3 linked regions of the Saccharomyces cerevisiae S288C genome follow. The protein of the gene in region 3 purifies or fractionates together with the protein of the main gene of each other region. This does not show direct contact. Each region holds a gene or a part of one and is shown on either strand. Other genes may lie near its edges.

Evidence for each region.
Region 1: the proteins of SEC7 (region 3) and GFA1 purify together in Saccharomyces cerevisiae (affinity purification with mass spectrometry, with the first as the bait; 2 studies listed by BioGRID). This does not show direct contact.
Region 2: the proteins of SEC7 (region 3) and CSE1 purify together in Saccharomyces cerevisiae (affinity purification with mass spectrometry, with the first as the bait; 2 studies listed by BioGRID). This does not show direct contact.

What each region holds. Positions count from the first base shown.
Region 1 is NC_001143.9:242,590-247,224, reverse strand, and holds GFA1 (glutamine--fructose-6-phosphate transaminase (isomerizing) GFA1), read left to right. Parts: upstream 1-1,851; coding exon 1,852-4,005; downstream 4,006-4,635. Other genes in the region: metalloaminopeptidase APE1, read left to right, coding at 1-1,087; YKL104W-A (uncharacterized protein), read right to left, coding at 1,939-2,193. UniProt on the Saccharomyces cerevisiae protein: Involved in amino sugar synthesis (formation of chitin, supplies the amino sugars of asparagine-linked oligosaccharides of glycoproteins).
Region 2 is NC_001139.9:47,739-53,042, forward strand, and holds CSE1 (importin-alpha export receptor), read left to right. Parts: upstream 1-1,813; coding exon 1,814-4,696; downstream 4,697-5,304. Other genes in the region: karyopherin KAP114, read left to right, coding at 1-721; anaphase promoting complex subunit DOC1, read left to right, coding at 875-1,627; transcription activator HAP2, read right to left, coding at 4,993-5,304. UniProt on the Saccharomyces cerevisiae protein: Export receptor for importin alpha (SRP1). Mediates importin-alpha re-export from the nucleus to the cytoplasm after import substrates have been released into the nucleoplasm.
Region 3 is NC_001136.10:796,101-804,210, forward strand, and holds SEC7 (Arf family guanine nucleotide exchange factor SEC7), read right to left. Parts: upstream 6,123-8,110; coding exon 93-6,122; downstream 1-92. Other genes in the region: YDR170W-A (gag protein), read left to right, coding at 7,095-8,110. UniProt on the Saccharomyces cerevisiae protein: Guanine exchange factor that acts as an activator of ARF1 at the trans-Golgi network and is thus involved in vesicular budding and traffic between compartments of the Golgi apparatus.

The sequences.
Region 1 (4,635 bases), on a different chromosome or scaffold from region 3:
AAGAATTGCTGTTGCTCCCTATGGAGGTACACTGAATGAATTGTGGCTAGACAGAGACCTAGGTATTGGTGGTCGCCTTCTTTACAAGAAGAAGGGCACTAACGAAATTAAAAGCGCCTTGGTTGATTCTACACCCCTACCTGTTTGTCGAATTCCTTCCTTGGCTCCCCATTTCGGTAAACCTGCTGAAGGCCCATTTGATAAAGAGGACCAAACTATCCCGGTCATCGGCTTCCCCACTCCGGATGAGGAAGGTAATGAACCTCCCACGGATGATGAAAAGAAATCGCCCTTATTTGGCAAACACTGCATCCACCTGTTAAGGTACGTTGCCAAATTAGCCGGTGTGGAAGTGTCCGAATTGATTCAAATGGATTTAGACTTATTCGATGTGCAAAAGGGTACCATTGGAGGTATTGGTAAACACTTCCTTTTTGCACCACGTCTAGATGACAGGTTGTGTAGTTTCGCAGCAATGATTGCTTTGATTTGCTACGCTAAGGATGTTAATACCGAGGAATCAGATTTATTCTCTACTGTCACTTTGTATGATAATGAAGAAATCGGATCGTTGACAAGACAAGGCGCAAAAGGTGGCTTGTTGGAGTCAGTGGTGGAACGCAGTTCTTCTGCATTCACTAAGAAACCGGTCGATTTGCATACGGTTTGGGCTAATTCCATCATCTTGTCCGCAGACGTCAACCACCTCTACAACCCAAACTTTCCTGAAGTCTATTTGAAGAATCATTTTCCAGTGCCTAATGTCGGAATCACTTTATCACTGGATCCTAACGGTCATATGGCCACAGATGTCGTAGGAACTGCCCTAGTAGAAGAATTAGCACGCCGCAATGGAGACAAAGTGCAATATTTCCAAATCAAAAACAACTCAAGATCAGGTGGTACTATCGGCCCATCATTGGCTTCTCAAACAGGTGCTCGTACCATAGACCTGGGAATTGCACAGTTGTCCATGCACAGCATCAGAGCTGCTACAGGGTCCAAGGATGTCGGATTAGGTGTTAAGTTCTTCAACGGATTTTTCAAGCACTGGAGATCAGTCTACGATGAATTCGGCGAGTTGTGATTTTGCCACACTCTTTTTATTTCTTTTGATTTCTGTTTCTTTATCCTTTTTCTAAAAATACTTTTATTTCGAATCAGGAAGAAAAGAAAAATGTATAAAAAAAAAAAAATAAAACACCACAATCGTCAAGATATAAATATCTATTTATAAATAAAACATCAAAAATACCTAAACCCCAAACATTCTACTAGGAAAGAATATTAACAGTAACCACGAACTATAAAAAATGCATTTGAACACCAATGTGGGCCTTGACAGCCGTATTAGATGAAACAAACCACATACTTTTCTTGATTAGCCAAGCATTCTTTCTTTTGTGACGCCGTCGATCACTCAAATATCAATCCGGGTAACGCGCGGCTCCCTACATTTTCTTCGATTTTTATCTTTTTTTCACAAATCGAAAACATTAGACTTCCTCTTTGGGAAATCGGATGCATTTTAGCGTTTCTGAGGCGACTTTTCCTCTTCTTAAAATATTTATTTAGTGTCTTACATTCGACCCTTTTCGCCTTTCTGCTTTATTTTTGGAACACGTACTTCTTTTCGCTTACAAGAAAGCATTCTCAGTCATCCATCACACTTATTTTCACTGCAAAGTTACAGAACCGGTGTCCTTTCCAACATCATAGTTATATAGTTGAGAAAAAGTGGACAAAAAGCCAGCATAAACAAGGAATAACTGTATTTCTTTTCTTATATAGTTATCAGGGCCAAATAAGCAATAAGTTCTCGAGCAAATCAACAGCAACTTTTATAAAAAAATGTGTGGTATCTTTGGTTACTGCAATTATCTAGTGGAAAGATCCAGAGGAGAAATTATCGACACCTTAGTGGATGGTTTACAAAGATTAGAATATAGAGGCTATGATTCCACCGGTATTGCTATCGATGGTGACGAAGCTGATTCTACTTTCATCTATAAGCAAATCGGTAAAGTGAGTGCTTTGAAAGAGGAGATTACTAAGCAAAATCCGAACAGAGACGTTACTTTTGTCTCTCATTGTGGTATTGCGCATACTAGATGGGCTACTCACGGTCGACCAGAACAAGTTAACTGTCACCCTCAAAGATCTGACCCAGAAGACCAATTTGTGGTCGTTCATAATGGTATCATCACAAATTTTAGAGAACTGAAGACTCTTTTAATTAACAAAGGTTATAAATTCGAAAGTGATACCGATACCGAGTGTATTGCTAAACTATATTTGCATTTATACAATACAAATTTACAAAATGGGCATGACTTAGATTTCCACGAATTAACCAAGCTAGTTCTTTTAGAACTAGAAGGTTCATACGGGTTATTATGTAAATCTTGTCACTATCCTAATGAGGTTATCGCCACTAGAAAAGGGTCCCCTTTACTGATTGGTGTCAAATCTGAAAAAAAACTAAAAGTCGACTTCGTGGATGTGGAATTTCCCGAAGAAAACGCTGGTCAACCGGAAATTCCATTGAAATCTAACAACAAATCATTTGGCTTGGGCCCAAAGAAAGCTCGTGAATTTGAAGCTGGTTCCCAAAATGCCAATTTACTACCAATTGCCGCCAATGAATTTAACTTGAGACATTCTCAATCCAGGGCTTTCCTATCAGAAGATGGATCTCCAACACCGGTGGAATTTTTTGTTTCTTCGGATGCGGCATCTGTTGTTAAACATACCAAGAAGGTGCTATTTTTAGAAGATGACGATTTGGCTCATATTTACGATGGTGAGTTACATATTCATAGATCTAGAAGAGAAGTAGGCGCATCAATGACAAGGTCCATTCAAACTTTAGAGATGGAGTTAGCTCAGATCATGAAGGGCCCTTACGACCATTTTATGCAAAAGGAAATCTATGAGCAACCAGAATCTACTTTCAATACTATGAGAGGTAGAATCGACTATGAAAATAATAAAGTGATATTGGGTGGTTTAAAGGCATGGTTACCAGTTGTCAGAAGAGCACGGAGACTGATCATGATCGCATGCGGTACTTCTTATCATTCATGTTTGGCTACTCGTGCTATCTTCGAAGAATTATCAGATATCCCAGTTAGTGTGGAATTAGCGTCTGACTTTCTGGACAGAAAATGCCCTGTCTTCAGAGACGATGTATGCGTGTTTGTTTCACAAAGTGGTGAAACTGCGGATACCATGCTGGCTCTAAATTATTGTTTAGAAAGAGGAGCCTTAACTGTCGGAATTGTTAACAGTGTTGGTTCTTCTATCTCTCGTGTCACCCACTGTGGTGTTCATATTAACGCTGGTCCTGAAATTGGTGTTGCCTCTACAAAAGCTTATACTTCCCAGTATATTGCCTTAGTGATGTTTGCTCTATCGCTGTCAGATGACCGTGTATCGAAAATAGACAGAAGAATTGAAATCATTCAAGGCTTGAAGTTAATCCCGGGCCAAATTAAGCAGGTATTAAAGCTGGAACCAAGAATAAAAAAGCTCTGTGCGACTGAATTAAAGGATCAAAAATCTCTATTGTTATTGGGTAGAGGTTACCAATTTGCTGCTGCTCTGGAAGGTGCTTTGAAGATCAAAGAAATTTCTTATATGCATTCTGAAGGTGTTTTGGCAGGTGAGTTGAAGCACGGTGTCTTGGCCTTGGTGGACGAAAACTTGCCAATCATTGCTTTTGGTACCAGAGACTCTCTATTCCCTAAAGTAGTTTCCTCTATTGAGCAAGTTACTGCAAGAAAGGGCCATCCAATTATTATTTGTAACGAAAATGATGAAGTGTGGGCGCAAAAATCTAAATCAATCGACCTGCAAACCTTAGAAGTTCCACAAACTGTTGATTGTTTACAAGGTCTAATTAATATTATTCCATTACAACTAATGTCATATTGGTTGGCTGTTAATAAAGGGATTGATGTTGATTTTCCAAGAAACTTGGCTAAATCTGTTACCGTCGAATAAATTAACCCTTTTACTTTCTCTTCGTCCCCCAGCCTCCCATCCGTCTTTCTACTATCACTTCTCCTTCGCTTTTAATTTTTGAACTTCCATTATTCTGCAATGCGCACTACAAGCTGGCGTTAAAGATGATTCCACTTGTATTCTCTATATAAATAAAAAATTATATTTTATATGAATAACCAAAAAGATAGTTGCAGCCCTAAATTAGACCTGCTAAATAAATGTGTTCTAACTTTGTTACAATTTTTAAACCATATAACTTCCTTCTTGTAAGTCCTCTAAAATAATATTAAACCCTATCCTGAGTTGGGCCCTGCGTTTTACCCGCAGGAATAGGCCCGATGATTGATTATCCACATCAACTTTTGGTGAAATTCGAGAGAAAATAAATGGGAAGTGAACGAGCAATAGGCAATCAACAAAAAAAAAAAAGGGTTAGGAAATTCGCTATTGTAAAGAGGCAATTTTTAAAATTTAGAGTGAAAATCGCCATTCCATCTTCTTCATATTCTTCGTTCAAATTACACAATTATTGCGGGAGGAAATAGCATTTATTAACCCTAATAATCAACATAAGGCAGATAGCTCTGAAAGAGGCAAGTATCAACAAATAGTGGGAGCATTGGAAAT
Region 2 (5,304 bases), on a different chromosome or scaffold from region 3:
TAAGACACAAAACATTTCTACTGAGCAAAACCTTCTTTCTGTATTATGCTTCTTAACGTGTAATGATCCTAAACAAACGGTGGATTTTTTGTCTAGTTTCCAAATTGACAATACTGATGCTTTGACATTGGTGATGCGAAAATGGATAGAAGCCTTTGAAGTCATTAGAGGTGAAAAAAGAATCAAAGAAAATATCGTTGCTTTGAGCAACCTTTTCTTCCTGAACGACAAAAGGCTACAGAAAGTGGTTGTCAATGGTAACTTGATACCATACGAAGGGGACCTGATCATTACAAGATCAATGGCTAAGAAAATGCCAGACAGGTATGTACAAGTTCCACTTTATACCAAGATCATTAAATTGTTTGTTTCTGAGTTAAGCTTCCAAAGTAAACAACCGAATCCAGAACAATTGATCACAAGCGATATTAAGCAAGAAGTGGTAAATGCTAATAAAGATGACGACAATGATGATTGGGAAGATGTAGATGATGTACTCGATTACGATAAGTTGAAAGAATATATTGATGATGATGTCGATGAAGAAGCAGACGACGATTCAGACGATATAACGGGACTCATGGACGTGAAGGAATCTGTTGTTCAGCTACTGGTAAGATTCTTTAAAGAGGTTGCAAGCAAAGATGTGAGTGGCTTCCATTGTATTTACGAGACTCTATCCGACAGTGAACGTAAAGTTCTTTCAGAAGCCCTTTTGTAGCTTATATACATAAGCCGTGGAGATATCAGATGTAAAGTAGTTAGAGTAGAAAAAATGCGGCAAAATAAGCGCCGTCTATATAAAAGAAAGAAAGTGTTAAATAAACTGACCACAGAAGGTGGCAAAAATAATACGAGATTTAGAAGTCAGATAATGGACCCGATTGGAATAAACAAAGTCTTGGACCATTTAGCACCCTCAGAGCTTATCAAACCTGTTAAGAGTTGCCATAATAAACCTTCAGTGTTGGTGTTGGATGACAGGATTGTGGATGCGGCAACCAAAGATCTCTACGTGAATGGGTTCCAAGAAGAGATTCAGTATCAGAATCCTACACCGGAGAACTTGCAACATATGTTCCACCAAGGTATTGAAATATTGGATTCGGCAAGGATGATCAACGTGACACATTTAGCGCTTTGGAAGCCTTCTTCTTTTAAGTTGGGGAATCCTGTGGACTTTGCTCTAGATGATAACTACGATACGTTTTGGCAGAGCGATGGAGGGCAACCACACCAATTGGACATTATGTTTAGTAAGAGAATGGACATCTGTGTCATGGCAATATTCTTTTCGATGATTGCGGACGAGTCCTATGCTCCAAGCTTAGTGAAAGTTTACGCGGGGCATAGTCCTTCTGATGCGAGGTTTTATAAGATGCTTGAAGTGAGAAATGTGAATGGCTGGGTGGCACTAAGGTTTCTAGATAATAGGGAGGACGACCAGCTGCTGAAATGTCAATTCATCAGGCTTTTGTTTCCAGTCAACCATGAAAACGGAAAAGATACACATCTGAGAGGCATAAGGCTATATGTTCCATCTAATGAGCCACATCAAGATACCCATGAGTGGGCACAGACCCTCCCAGAAACTAACAATGTCTTCCAGGATGCTATATTACGTTAATAATATGCCGTTTATGATATTTTCTTCCTTGCTATTACCCTGCCTTTTGCTTTTTTTTTTTCACTTCAATTGCAGGGATTATGGAATAAAAAAAAAGTTGAAAGTAGTATAAACACAAGATCAAAAAGTGGCAAAGAGGACCCGCTCTGTTTATTGCTACTCAATTGTAGAAGAGAAAATAGTAGGATGTCCGATTTGGAAACCGTAGCTAAATTTCTGGCCGAATCAGTTATTGCTTCTACCGCTAAAACTTCGGAAAGAAATTTGAGGCAGTTGGAGACGCAAGATGGATTCGGTTTAACTTTATTGCACGTTATTGCTTCCACAAACCTGCCGTTATCCACCAGATTAGCAGGTGCTTTGTTCTTCAAAAATTTCATCAAGCGCAAGTGGGTAGATGAAAATGGTAATCATTTGCTGCCGGCTAACAACGTAGAACTGATCAAAAAGGAAATCGTTCCTTTAATGATCAGTCTACCAAATAATTTGCAGGTCCAAATAGGAGAGGCAATTTCCAGTATTGCTGACTCTGATTTTCCTGATAGGTGGCCTACACTTTTGAGTGATTTAGCTTCCAGATTGAGTAATGATGATATGGTGACGAATAAAGGTGTCCTTACAGTGGCACATTCTATTTTTAAAAGATGGAGACCTTTATTTAGATCAGATGAACTTTTTTTGGAGATTAAATTGGTTCTTGACGTGTTTACTGCTCCATTTTTGAACTTATTGAAAACGGTCGATGAACAGATAACAGCGAATGAAAATAACAAGGCATCGCTAAATATTTTATTTGATGTATTGCTAGTATTAATTAAACTATACTACGATTTTAATTGTCAAGATATACCAGAGTTTTTTGAGGATAACATTCAAGTGGGTATGGGTATCTTCCATAAGTATTTGTCATATTCTAATCCTTTATTGGAAGACCCTGACGAAACTGAACATGCGTCTGTCCTAATAAAAGTAAAGTCCTCTATCCAGGAGCTGGTTCAATTGTACACAACAAGATATGAAGATGTCTTTGGACCTATGATCAATGAATTCATACAAATAACTTGGAATCTTCTGACCTCAATTTCAAACCAACCTAAATACGACATCTTAGTATCCAAGTCCTTGTCATTTTTGACTGCAGTAACACGTATTCCAAAATACTTTGAAATATTCAACAACGAATCTGCCATGAATAATATCACAGAACAAATCATTCTGCCAAATGTTACACTACGTGAGGAAGATGTTGAACTTTTTGAAGACGATCCAATTGAATATATCCGTAGAGATCTGGAAGGTTCAGATACCGACACTAGAAGAAGGGCATGTACTGATTTCTTGAAGGAATTGAAGGAAAAAAATGAAGTGTTAGTCACAAATATTTTTTTGGCGCATATGAAAGGGTTCGTTGACCAGTACATGAGTGATCCATCCAAAAATTGGAAATTTAAAGATCTTTATATTTATCTATTCACTGCATTGGCCATTAATGGGAATATTACCAATGCCGGTGTTTCATCCACAAACAACTTACTAAATGTTGTAGATTTTTTCACCAAGGAAATTGCCCCGGACCTTACTTCCAACAATATTCCTCATATTATTTTGAGAGTGGATGCCATAAAATATATCTACACTTTCAGAAATCAGTTGACCAAAGCTCAGTTGATTGAACTAATGCCCATTTTGGCCACCTTCTTACAAACAGATGAATATGTTGTCTACACGTATGCTGCCATTACTATTGAAAAAATTTTGACTATTAGAGAATCAAATACGTCTCCTGCTTTTATTTTTCATAAGGAAGATATTTCGAATAGTACAGAAATTCTTTTGAAAAATCTTATTGCATTAATCTTGAAGCATGGCAGCTCCCCTGAAAAACTAGCTGAAAACGAATTTTTAATGAGATCAATCTTTAGAGTTTTGCAGACGTCAGAAGATTCCATTCAACCTTTATTTCCTCAGTTGTTGGCACAATTTATTGAAATTGTAACGATAATGGCAAAGAACCCATCAAATCCAAGATTTACTCATTACACTTTTGAATCTATTGGTGCCATCTTGAATTACACTCAAAGACAAAACTTACCACTACTTGTAGATTCTATGATGCCAACATTTTTAACGGTTTTCTCCGAGGATATTCAAGAATTCATTCCATATGTGTTCCAAATCATCGCATTTGTTGTTGAGCAGTCTGCAACAATTCCAGAAAGTATCAAGCCGTTGGCACAACCTTTATTAGCACCAAATGTATGGGAATTGAAAGGTAATATTCCTGCCGTGACAAGGCTACTAAAGAGTTTTATAAAGACAGATTCATCGATCTTCCCCGATCTAGTCCCTGTTTTAGGTATTTTTCAAAGATTGATCGCATCAAAGGCTTATGAAGTTCATGGGTTTGACTTATTAGAGCACATCATGCTTCTAATCGACATGAACCGCTTGAGACCATATATTAAACAAATCGCAGTTTTATTATTACAAAGATTACAGAACTCTAAAACAGAAAGGTATGTTAAAAAATTAACGGTATTTTTTGGTTTGATATCTAATAAATTAGGCTCTGATTTTTTGATCCACTTTATTGACGAAGTGCAAGATGGGCTTTTTCAACAAATATGGGGTAATTTTATTATTACCACATTACCTACTATTGGTAACCTGCTAGATCGTAAAATTGCATTAATTGGTGTTTTGAACATGGTTATAAACGGCCAATTTTTCCAAAGCAAATATCCAACTTTGATTTCAAGCACAATGAATTCCATTATAGAGACAGCATCATCACAAAGTATTGCAAACTTGAAAAACGATTATGTTGATTTAGATAACTTGGAGGAAATCTCCACGTTTGGTTCTCATTTCAGTAAGTTGGTTAGTATTAGCGAAAAACCATTCGATCCTTTGCCTGAAATCGATGTCAATAATGGTGTGAGATTATATGTTGCTGAAGCACTAAACAAATATAATGCTATCTCTGGGAATACATTTTTAAATACCATTTTGCCTCAATTGACCCAAGAAAATCAAGTAAAATTAAATCAATTATTAGTTGGTAATTAACATGGTGTAGAGAATTATATATAGATGAAAATGGAGCTCTTTTGAATAGCTGTTTATATGTAGATAGAGTAAGCAAAAATGAAAAAAGAAAAGCACGTAAATACGATCGCAATATGGTTTCTTTTCCAGCGGAGTACATAGGTCTGTTAGAAATGAAACGAAACGAAACGAAACGAGATTGGTAAAAGTACATATACATATTGATTCAGATTAAATAGGCCATATGGATACCATGTGGTATAAGAGGGCACTTTTAGTTCTTTTAGGAATGATATTAACATTGGAATATTACAAAATTATGTTTTTTTGTCTGCTGCAGCTGCGGTGGAAGTAGCATGCGGCTGTTCTTGTATTATTTTAGTAGTGATTTTTTTATCCTCATGACTATCGTCAGGATCATCGCTAGCCCCACTTTTCTTCGATTTCATGGCTTTGATCTCAGCGGCTGTCAAGAACCTCCCACCTTCACCACGAGGTCTTCGCATCGCATGTTTATGTCGAGATTCGTGTAAGTATGGCTTTCGTTCTCTTGATATTCGTAGCTTTTCCTCTAGTTTAGCTCTTGCATATCGCCTTTTCAAAATTCGGTAGTACTGCTTGGCATTAAC
Region 3 (8,110 bases):
GATTAATATGAGTAAAAGTATATCAACCTTCTCATTTTTTCTGTGTTCTACAACTAAGCATATTTTAATCTGCTGGACCATTCAACAAAGCCTTAATCAGTAGAAAGGTATAATTCACCAACTCTGCTTAGAAATTGTTTTATAGCATGTCTCAACTCCGTTGGAACGCTCTTATCTAATATTTGAATCACCAGAGCATACATAGCAGGACAGTATAGTCTAAAGTCTTCATCATCAAATTCGTAGTAACCTTGTAATATTTCAACTATCACTGAACGCCAGGCATTGATACTACGTTCCATGGTTCTATCATCCAAAGAAACATAACCCTCTACGACCTGGATGCAAATGGTGATCAGACGAGTTATTAAATCAGCCTTCTTCTCATCATCGTTCAGATACAACTGAAACATAATGTCAAGGAGAACTGCAGCAGCACTCGTTTCTTGTTTCAACAGGTTTGGTATTTTATCAACTACACGAGCCTCTACTAGTCTTGTTCTTAACCCATAATCTTCATTAAAGTCACGAGAAAATTCGTACGATTTCTCCAACAATCTTGTAATTCTAATGGCTTCCTTGTAAGGGATACAGTGGGCAAAATCTTCGTTCTCGAATAATTCGTTGAGCAGCTCTATCATCAAAAGCTGTAAAACACATTTGACAACAATAGAATTCTTGATGTTTATTCTCCTACGTATATCTTCGTTACTTTCGTTTCGTTTCATGTGCTTAGTTTTCTTGGGGATACTTAGACTAGCGGGCTTTGGATTCAATTCGTCCTTTACCGTCGGAACGGAATTGCCATTATTAAGCTTAGTTTGCCCATTGAGTGTTTCAACCATGTCACCACCAACGTCTTCGCTGGATTCTTCTTGATGCGCTCTTTCGACCGTCTCACTGATATTAGAATCGTTCTCCCTTCTGTCGTTGCTATCATCATCTGAGTGTTGGCTGGTATCATTAGTTGTTTGGTGATGAGATACAGATGATTTTCTTCCTTGCTGTAACGGATCATAATCGAACAATTCATTAGCAGTGGTTAAATCAAACAATTTATCGAATACGTCACCTATTTGATTCCAATGGTACTCATTGAATTTAGATACGTTTTGCAATATCAATTGTTGCAGGCAGGATCTCCCAATTCTAGCAATAGTGTCATTTTCTTGACAAATACAGGATACCAGCAGACCCAAAAATCCATCGAGCATTCTGTTCAACGATTCAAAGTAATGCGTAAAAAGGGCAATCAAGTTCCTTAAGGCTTGAATTAACGTGGTCGAAAGCCAAACACTTAAATCATCATGACTATTGAATTGGTTGACTTCCCAATGTTTGGATAATACACCGAAAATAGGAAATAGTAACTTCTTACAAATCTTTTCCCAGAAATCATCATTGAATTTACCACCATATGCCACTAGGGCATCGAACATATAGTTTAATGCACGTGATCTAACTTCTAAGTCTTCAGCTGTCATGATCGTATCATTGAAGCAGAATAACATAGGGAACCACACATCCTGGAATATGTCTTTCCCACGAAGTAAAGCATCGTTATGTTTTCTTTCTTCTTCAGTCTTATTTTCATTGTAAAAACAGATGTCTGCGACGTTCTGAGTCATCTTTCTTAGAGACTCCAAAGCATGTAGAGATAGCTTTTGGAATCTCTTATTTTTGGTGATTTCTCTGAAGACACCAACTAACTCAGAAAAGGCATCTTCTTGAGAGAATACGTTTTCGAAGTGATTTGTCACAATATCATTGCTAACCAGCAATTGCGTCTTTAATACAATGGATTCAGTGCTTGAGCGAGCCGTATATTGTAAGGATTCAAGAATAGGCTTCCAGCCAGATTTGATACTTTCCGATTTTGTCAATATGAAGTTCCTAAAACACTCAATAATCATTTCTTGAACTTCAGTGTTGCCACTATTTTGAACCGTGTATTCAAAAGGTTTTAAAAAATCATGTTGAAATTCAAAACCTGATAATTCCTCAATATCTAAAAATCTCATAGACAATTGACGCAGGGAATCGATAGCGAAAAATACTACTGCTAAGTTAGAGTTTGTAGCAATCTTGTTGAAAGCTTTTCCCATAACAGCCCAAAGCGGCGTCCATTCTAGTTTGATACGATCCATATTGTAGTAACATACATCGACCATTTTTTGCAAGGAAAACATTCTTGGTGTGGAAGCATTTTCAGATGATTCAATTTCTTCTAAAGATACAGCGGTTAAAGCTTTGATAAAATCAACGATAGCATTACCTGATAACTCGGAACTTTTGGTAAATATATTGTCCATCAAAACGACTAATTCACTGGAGGAAATGAATTTAGAGATTTCGGGTGATAAGGTTTGATTATGGTGTTTTTCTTGAGCCAATTCTGTGGGAGTTGCCTTCTTGCCCCAAACATCAAAGAAAGATGTATTATTGGATCTTGATGATTCGTAAGAAACTCTAGGGTTTGCAACACGAGCTTGTGCAACATCTGGAACCGTATCTCTGTCGATACCTTTGGATATCAATTGTAGTCTTTCCATTTGAGACACGACCAGCAAAATGTCCTTCCACGATCCCTCCAAGTAATTTCCTTCTGATAACGCGACTTCAAGAAGAATTACCATTGCATTGACATTTTTAACTTTGATTTCTTCAAGGTTTTGAAGGTTACAAAATTGGACTAACGCACCTACAAAGGAGGTTCTAGCATCATTGATTCTAAAAGTAGAAGCAATTTTAATTGATATTTTCAAGCCTTCTAAACACTTATTGGTTGTGTCAATGTCATCATAATCCTTAAATGGGGGGGTTAGAGCTGCTAAAAAGGACATCCATAGTGTCTCGAAAATTGATTTAACATGCTCAACGTGGGAAGCAGCATAATAGACGTCTGGGCCTCCTTTATTTTTGTTTAAATTCTTAAAGACTAATTCCGTTTTAGATGAAATTTCTTTTGAGACTTGATTATATGCCTCTCTTGTCAAATCACGAGAATTAAAGAAGTTGAAAGCAGATTGCTGTTGTTGGACAAGATTGGTATCACCTGAAAGCATTGCCTGATGCTGTTCAGAAATTAACTTGATTTCATTGTTAGCAATTTCGTTGAACAAACCTTCCAAGAAGTCTCTTGGTAAATCTCTTCCGTTGTCAATACCTTCGTTGTTTTCTAAAAACTCTTGTAAAGACATTTTATTTTTGATTTGTGACGAATGTAAATCAGTATTCAACATGATCAAAGAATACGAAAGCACATATGCAGTATCCGCCTTTGAAAAGACTCCGGGGTTTTGGTCCACAAATCTTTCCGCAAATTTCAGCATGAATCTGTCAATTTTTTGACCTTCTCCAGGCAATCTGAAACTTTGTAAAAATGACCTTAATGCGTCAACAATGGACATACCAGTGAAGTCAAACTCATCAACAAATGCGTGCATTATAGCGATGTTCTTGTCGTCTCCTTCGCCTAGATAATCCCCAACAGCGGCCATGTCGAGGCCTTCTGTTTCTAATAACCACTTGGCAATGGAAATTGGAGAATCATCTTTCAAAAATCCTTTTTTAATAAGTACTGGAATAGCTTTCTTGGGTTTATTGTTGAAAATAGCAATACATTCCGATAAAGCAGTTTTCCTTAGTTTCAAATTTTCAAATTGTGTGGGGTCGTCTGCGTCAATGTTTTGACTGCTCAATGATCTGCTTTCTTCGTCTTCATATGTTGGTTTGAAGTCATCATTACTTGTCATAATAGAAGACCTTACGTCGTTACTCAAAGATGATCTAGATTCTTGACGAGCTGAAGATGTTGTGTTTAGTAATACCTTATTAGCAGTGTGTGTGTTTGGATTTAAAGCTTTGTGAGCCCATGAGCTTAAGGAACGCAAAACTGACACAATGCAATTTAGTGACACCATTTTGAGAGCAAAATCAAGTGGAAAAAGTAAATTGACTTGACCAACATCAGGACTAGAAGACAAGTTGGAAGAAGTCAAAAGGGGCAATTGTGAGAAATTGTAGGTGGACAGGGATTTTGATATTTGTTCATCGTAGTATGATCTTTGAGTCTGAGTAATTTCCACCCTAGTTAAAGCCAATCTTGTCAAATAATCAACAGTTATTTCCATTACATTTGGCATTCCAGGGTTACAATCATAATTCAAGTAAAATTCAACTAAAGTTCTTGGGTCGTTACAAATTCGTTGAATAACACTTAAAAAATATCTCTTTTGTTGGGAGGTGGAAGTGGTTAATTCTGAAATGGGGAAGTAGATTTCTGTTAAAAAAACTGGAATTTCCTTCACGAAATCTGCTCTCAAATTAGCAATCAATAGCCACATAATTTCTAAAGTAACCTCGAAAACTGGAGCTAGAGGCGAGGCAGCATTCCTTGATAAAACAAGACGTAAATATTGTCTAATTGAATCGATAAAGCACACACGCTCCTTTCCTGGTAGAAAAATGTTGTGGGAAAGGAATACGTCAATATGATCTTTGATAATAGAGTAAATGATGTGAAGAGATAAAAGCTTTGACCTGACGGCATGTGACCTCATGTCGAGTTCTGTTTCCAAAGGTTTAGCACATATTTTCGCCATGACTCTAAACACTAAGAACGCATCTTTAACAGCTAGATCTTGGTTAGTTATGGCGATAGAATCAGGCTGTTGAGCGTCCATTAGTCTTTCCTCATCGTCATTCAACTTATCCATATTTTCCAGAGTTAAAGGAGCCGGCGTTTCTGCATTTTCAGAAGCCTCGGAAAGTTCTATGGCGGATTGTTGTTGATGATTTTTTGTCGATAAGGATACTGCTGAAGAGGTACTTTGTTTGAGATCGATTTTATCATACACCGAACTAATAATTTGTGTCAAGGTCGCCTGTGCAATACCTTGATTGGATGGGTTCAACGAAAAGACGAAAACGTTGTAGATTGTTCTGATAGCCTTTAGCAAGGAAGCACCGTGGCATAAAGAACTTGAATCCTCTTCTAAAATGCAACTAGATAAAGCTCTAACGATTTGTAGTTCCACACGGTCATCAGTGCCTTCACCTTGAAAACAGTCTGAAATAGTATCAATTGCAGCGTCTATAATTTTTTGTTTTGGAGGCGGCGTTATTCCATCGGCAGCATCTTGTCGTTGATCATTAGAGGCTAAAGAATCGGGTGGATTCACTAACAGGGTCTCGTCTAGCGATCTAAAAGAAAACAATTTTGACAGGCAATCTAAAGCCAAACTTTGAACTTTGGAGGATTTGGTACGACAGCTTGCCCTTAGTGCTTCGAATACTAGTATTGAATCCACGTAATGTGGGTTATTCGTGGTTTGCGGATCAAATTCCTTAAATTTTTGTAATGTCCTTTCGATAGCCTTCTGAGCATTCGAATTCTTTTTAATGTCCTTATCATTTAAAATTGTCTCCAACGTAGTTTTCACTAAAATTATGGTTGAGTTTGTGTTCGAACCATTTGAAGATAGTGATATGTTCCTCGTATGGGTAGACCTTGGGGCAGTAGAATCGTTGGTGGGAACACTATCTTGATGAGCGATAGCTGGTTCGCCAGCATTTTCCTCTTCTTCTTCTTCTTCTTCTTCTTCTTCTTCTTCTTCTGACCCGCTTTCATCACCAGAGGAGCTGTTTGATGTATTTCCATCGCTTTCATCAGATTCTTCATCTTCTCCAGAGCTACTCTCAGTACTTTCCCCTGAGACTGATTCAGAATCTTCCCCGTCTTCGGAACTGGTTTCGGAACTACTGCTATCCACGTCCTCATCATCCTCGTCCCCATTGTCTTCATCTTCATCTTCATCTTCATCTTCATCTTCATCTCCATCTTCACCTTCATCGTCATGGCGTTTGTCATTTGTATCTTCCGTTTCTTCGGGCGTTTTCATTCCGTTGGTAGCGTCGTTACTTGTTTCTTTTGTTTCTGCCGTACTGCCAGCGTTTTCTGGCCCTTTGCATTTTTGATCTTCACCATTTGTCTCTTTAGCTTCTTCTTTAATAGCATTCTGTGGTTTCACAGACGGATTGACTGAAGAAGCAGTCTCTACATTTGAAGATATTTCGCCATCCCCTTTTTCAGCATTTACTACTGAATTCTGTTCAGACATCAGATATAGTAGCACTTAGACTTGTTTCTTATCTTCTTTAATGGAATTCGGGGAAAAAATGAGAAAGAAACAGTTTAAGATATTACTTTTTATTGGTTCTGGAGAAACTTAAAAGAAATCGAGTATAGCTTAGTTGCAGAAAATATTTTATATTTCTCCGGAAAATGACTTCAATTTCTATTAGTCTGCGTTTATTGAACAATTGGAGAGAAGCCAATGATGCTTTTTAAAGAAATGATGTAAATCCCAACTTTGAGCTTCCTTTCTCGTTGCTTTGTTTTTCCCTCGCCTCGATATTATAAAATTTACTCGGCGCCTTGATAAAAACTAAACGTTCACCTTCTTTCCTGTAGAGGGAAAATAACAATATGTATAAGCCTTCTCCGACATCAAAAAACTGTAAGAGCTTCAAAAGTACTAAAGTGTATATCTTAAGAGCATCGTTGGCTCCACTCTAACACATCAACAAAAAATATCAATGTTGATTTGTTAGAGTAAAAATAAAAAGAGGTCCTACCCGGATTCGAACCGGGGTTGTCCGGATCAAAACCGAAAGTGATAACCACTACACTATAGGACCGACAATTCATGTTAAATCCTCCTTTTTTAGGCTTTTATAAGTTACTTTGACTAGAGATGACTAGAAATGATTATATTACACGCACACACAATACACACATAGTGTTGGAATAAAAATCCACTATCGTCTATCAACTAATAGTTATATTATCAATATATTATCATATACGGTGTTAAGATGATGACATAAGTTATGAGAAGCTGTCATCGAAGTTAGAGGAAGCTGAAGTGCAAGGATTGATAATGTAATAGGATAATGAAACATATAAAACAGAATGAGGAATAATCGTAATATTGGTATATAGAAATATAGATTCCATTATGGGGATTCCTGACCCTCGAGGAGAACTTCTAGTATATTCTGTATACCTAATATTATAGCCTTTATCAACAATGGAATCCCAACAATTATCTCAACATTCACCCATTTCTCATGGTAGCGCCTGTGCTTCGGTTACTTCTAAAGAAGTCCAAACAACTCAAGATCCGTTAGACATTTCAGCTTCCAAAACAGAAGAATGTGAGAAGGTTTTCACTCAGGCTAATTCTCAACAGCCAACAACACCTCCCTCAGCTGCTGTTCCAGAGAACCATCATCATGCCTCTCCTCAAGCTGCTCAAGTACCATTGCCACAAAATGGGCCGTACCCACAGCAGCGAATGATGACTCCCCAACAAGCCAATATTTCTGGTTGGCCAGTATACGGGCACCCATCTTTGATGCCGTATCCACCTTATCAAATGTCACCTATGTACGCTCCACCTGGAGCACAATCACAGTTTACACAATATCCACAATATGTTGGAACACATTTGAACACCCCGTCACCTGAGTCAGGTAATTCATTTCCTGATTCATCCTCAGCAAAGTCTAATATGACATCCACTAATCAACATGTCAGACCACCGCCAATCTTAACCTCACCTAATGACTTTCTAAATTGGGTTAAAATATACATCAAATTTTTACAAAATTCGAATCTCGGTGATATTATTCCGACAGCAACAAGAAAAGCCGTACGTCAGATGACTGATGACGAACTCACCTTCTTATGTCACACCTTTCAACTATTTGCTCTATCTCAATTCTTACCCACCTGGGTTAAAGACATCTTATCTGTTGATTATACAGATATCATGAAAATTCTTTCCAAAAGCATTAACAAAATGCAGTCTGATACTCAAGAGGTAAATGACATTACGACCCTAGCAAATTTGCATTATAATGGAAGTACACCTGCAGATGCATTTGAAGCAGAAGTCACAAACATTCTTGACAGACTAAAAAACAATGGCATTCCTATCAATAACAAGGTAGCATGCCAATTCATTATGAGAGGTCTATCTGGCGAATACAAATTTTTACGCTACGCACGTCATCGATATATACATATGACAGTTGCTGATCT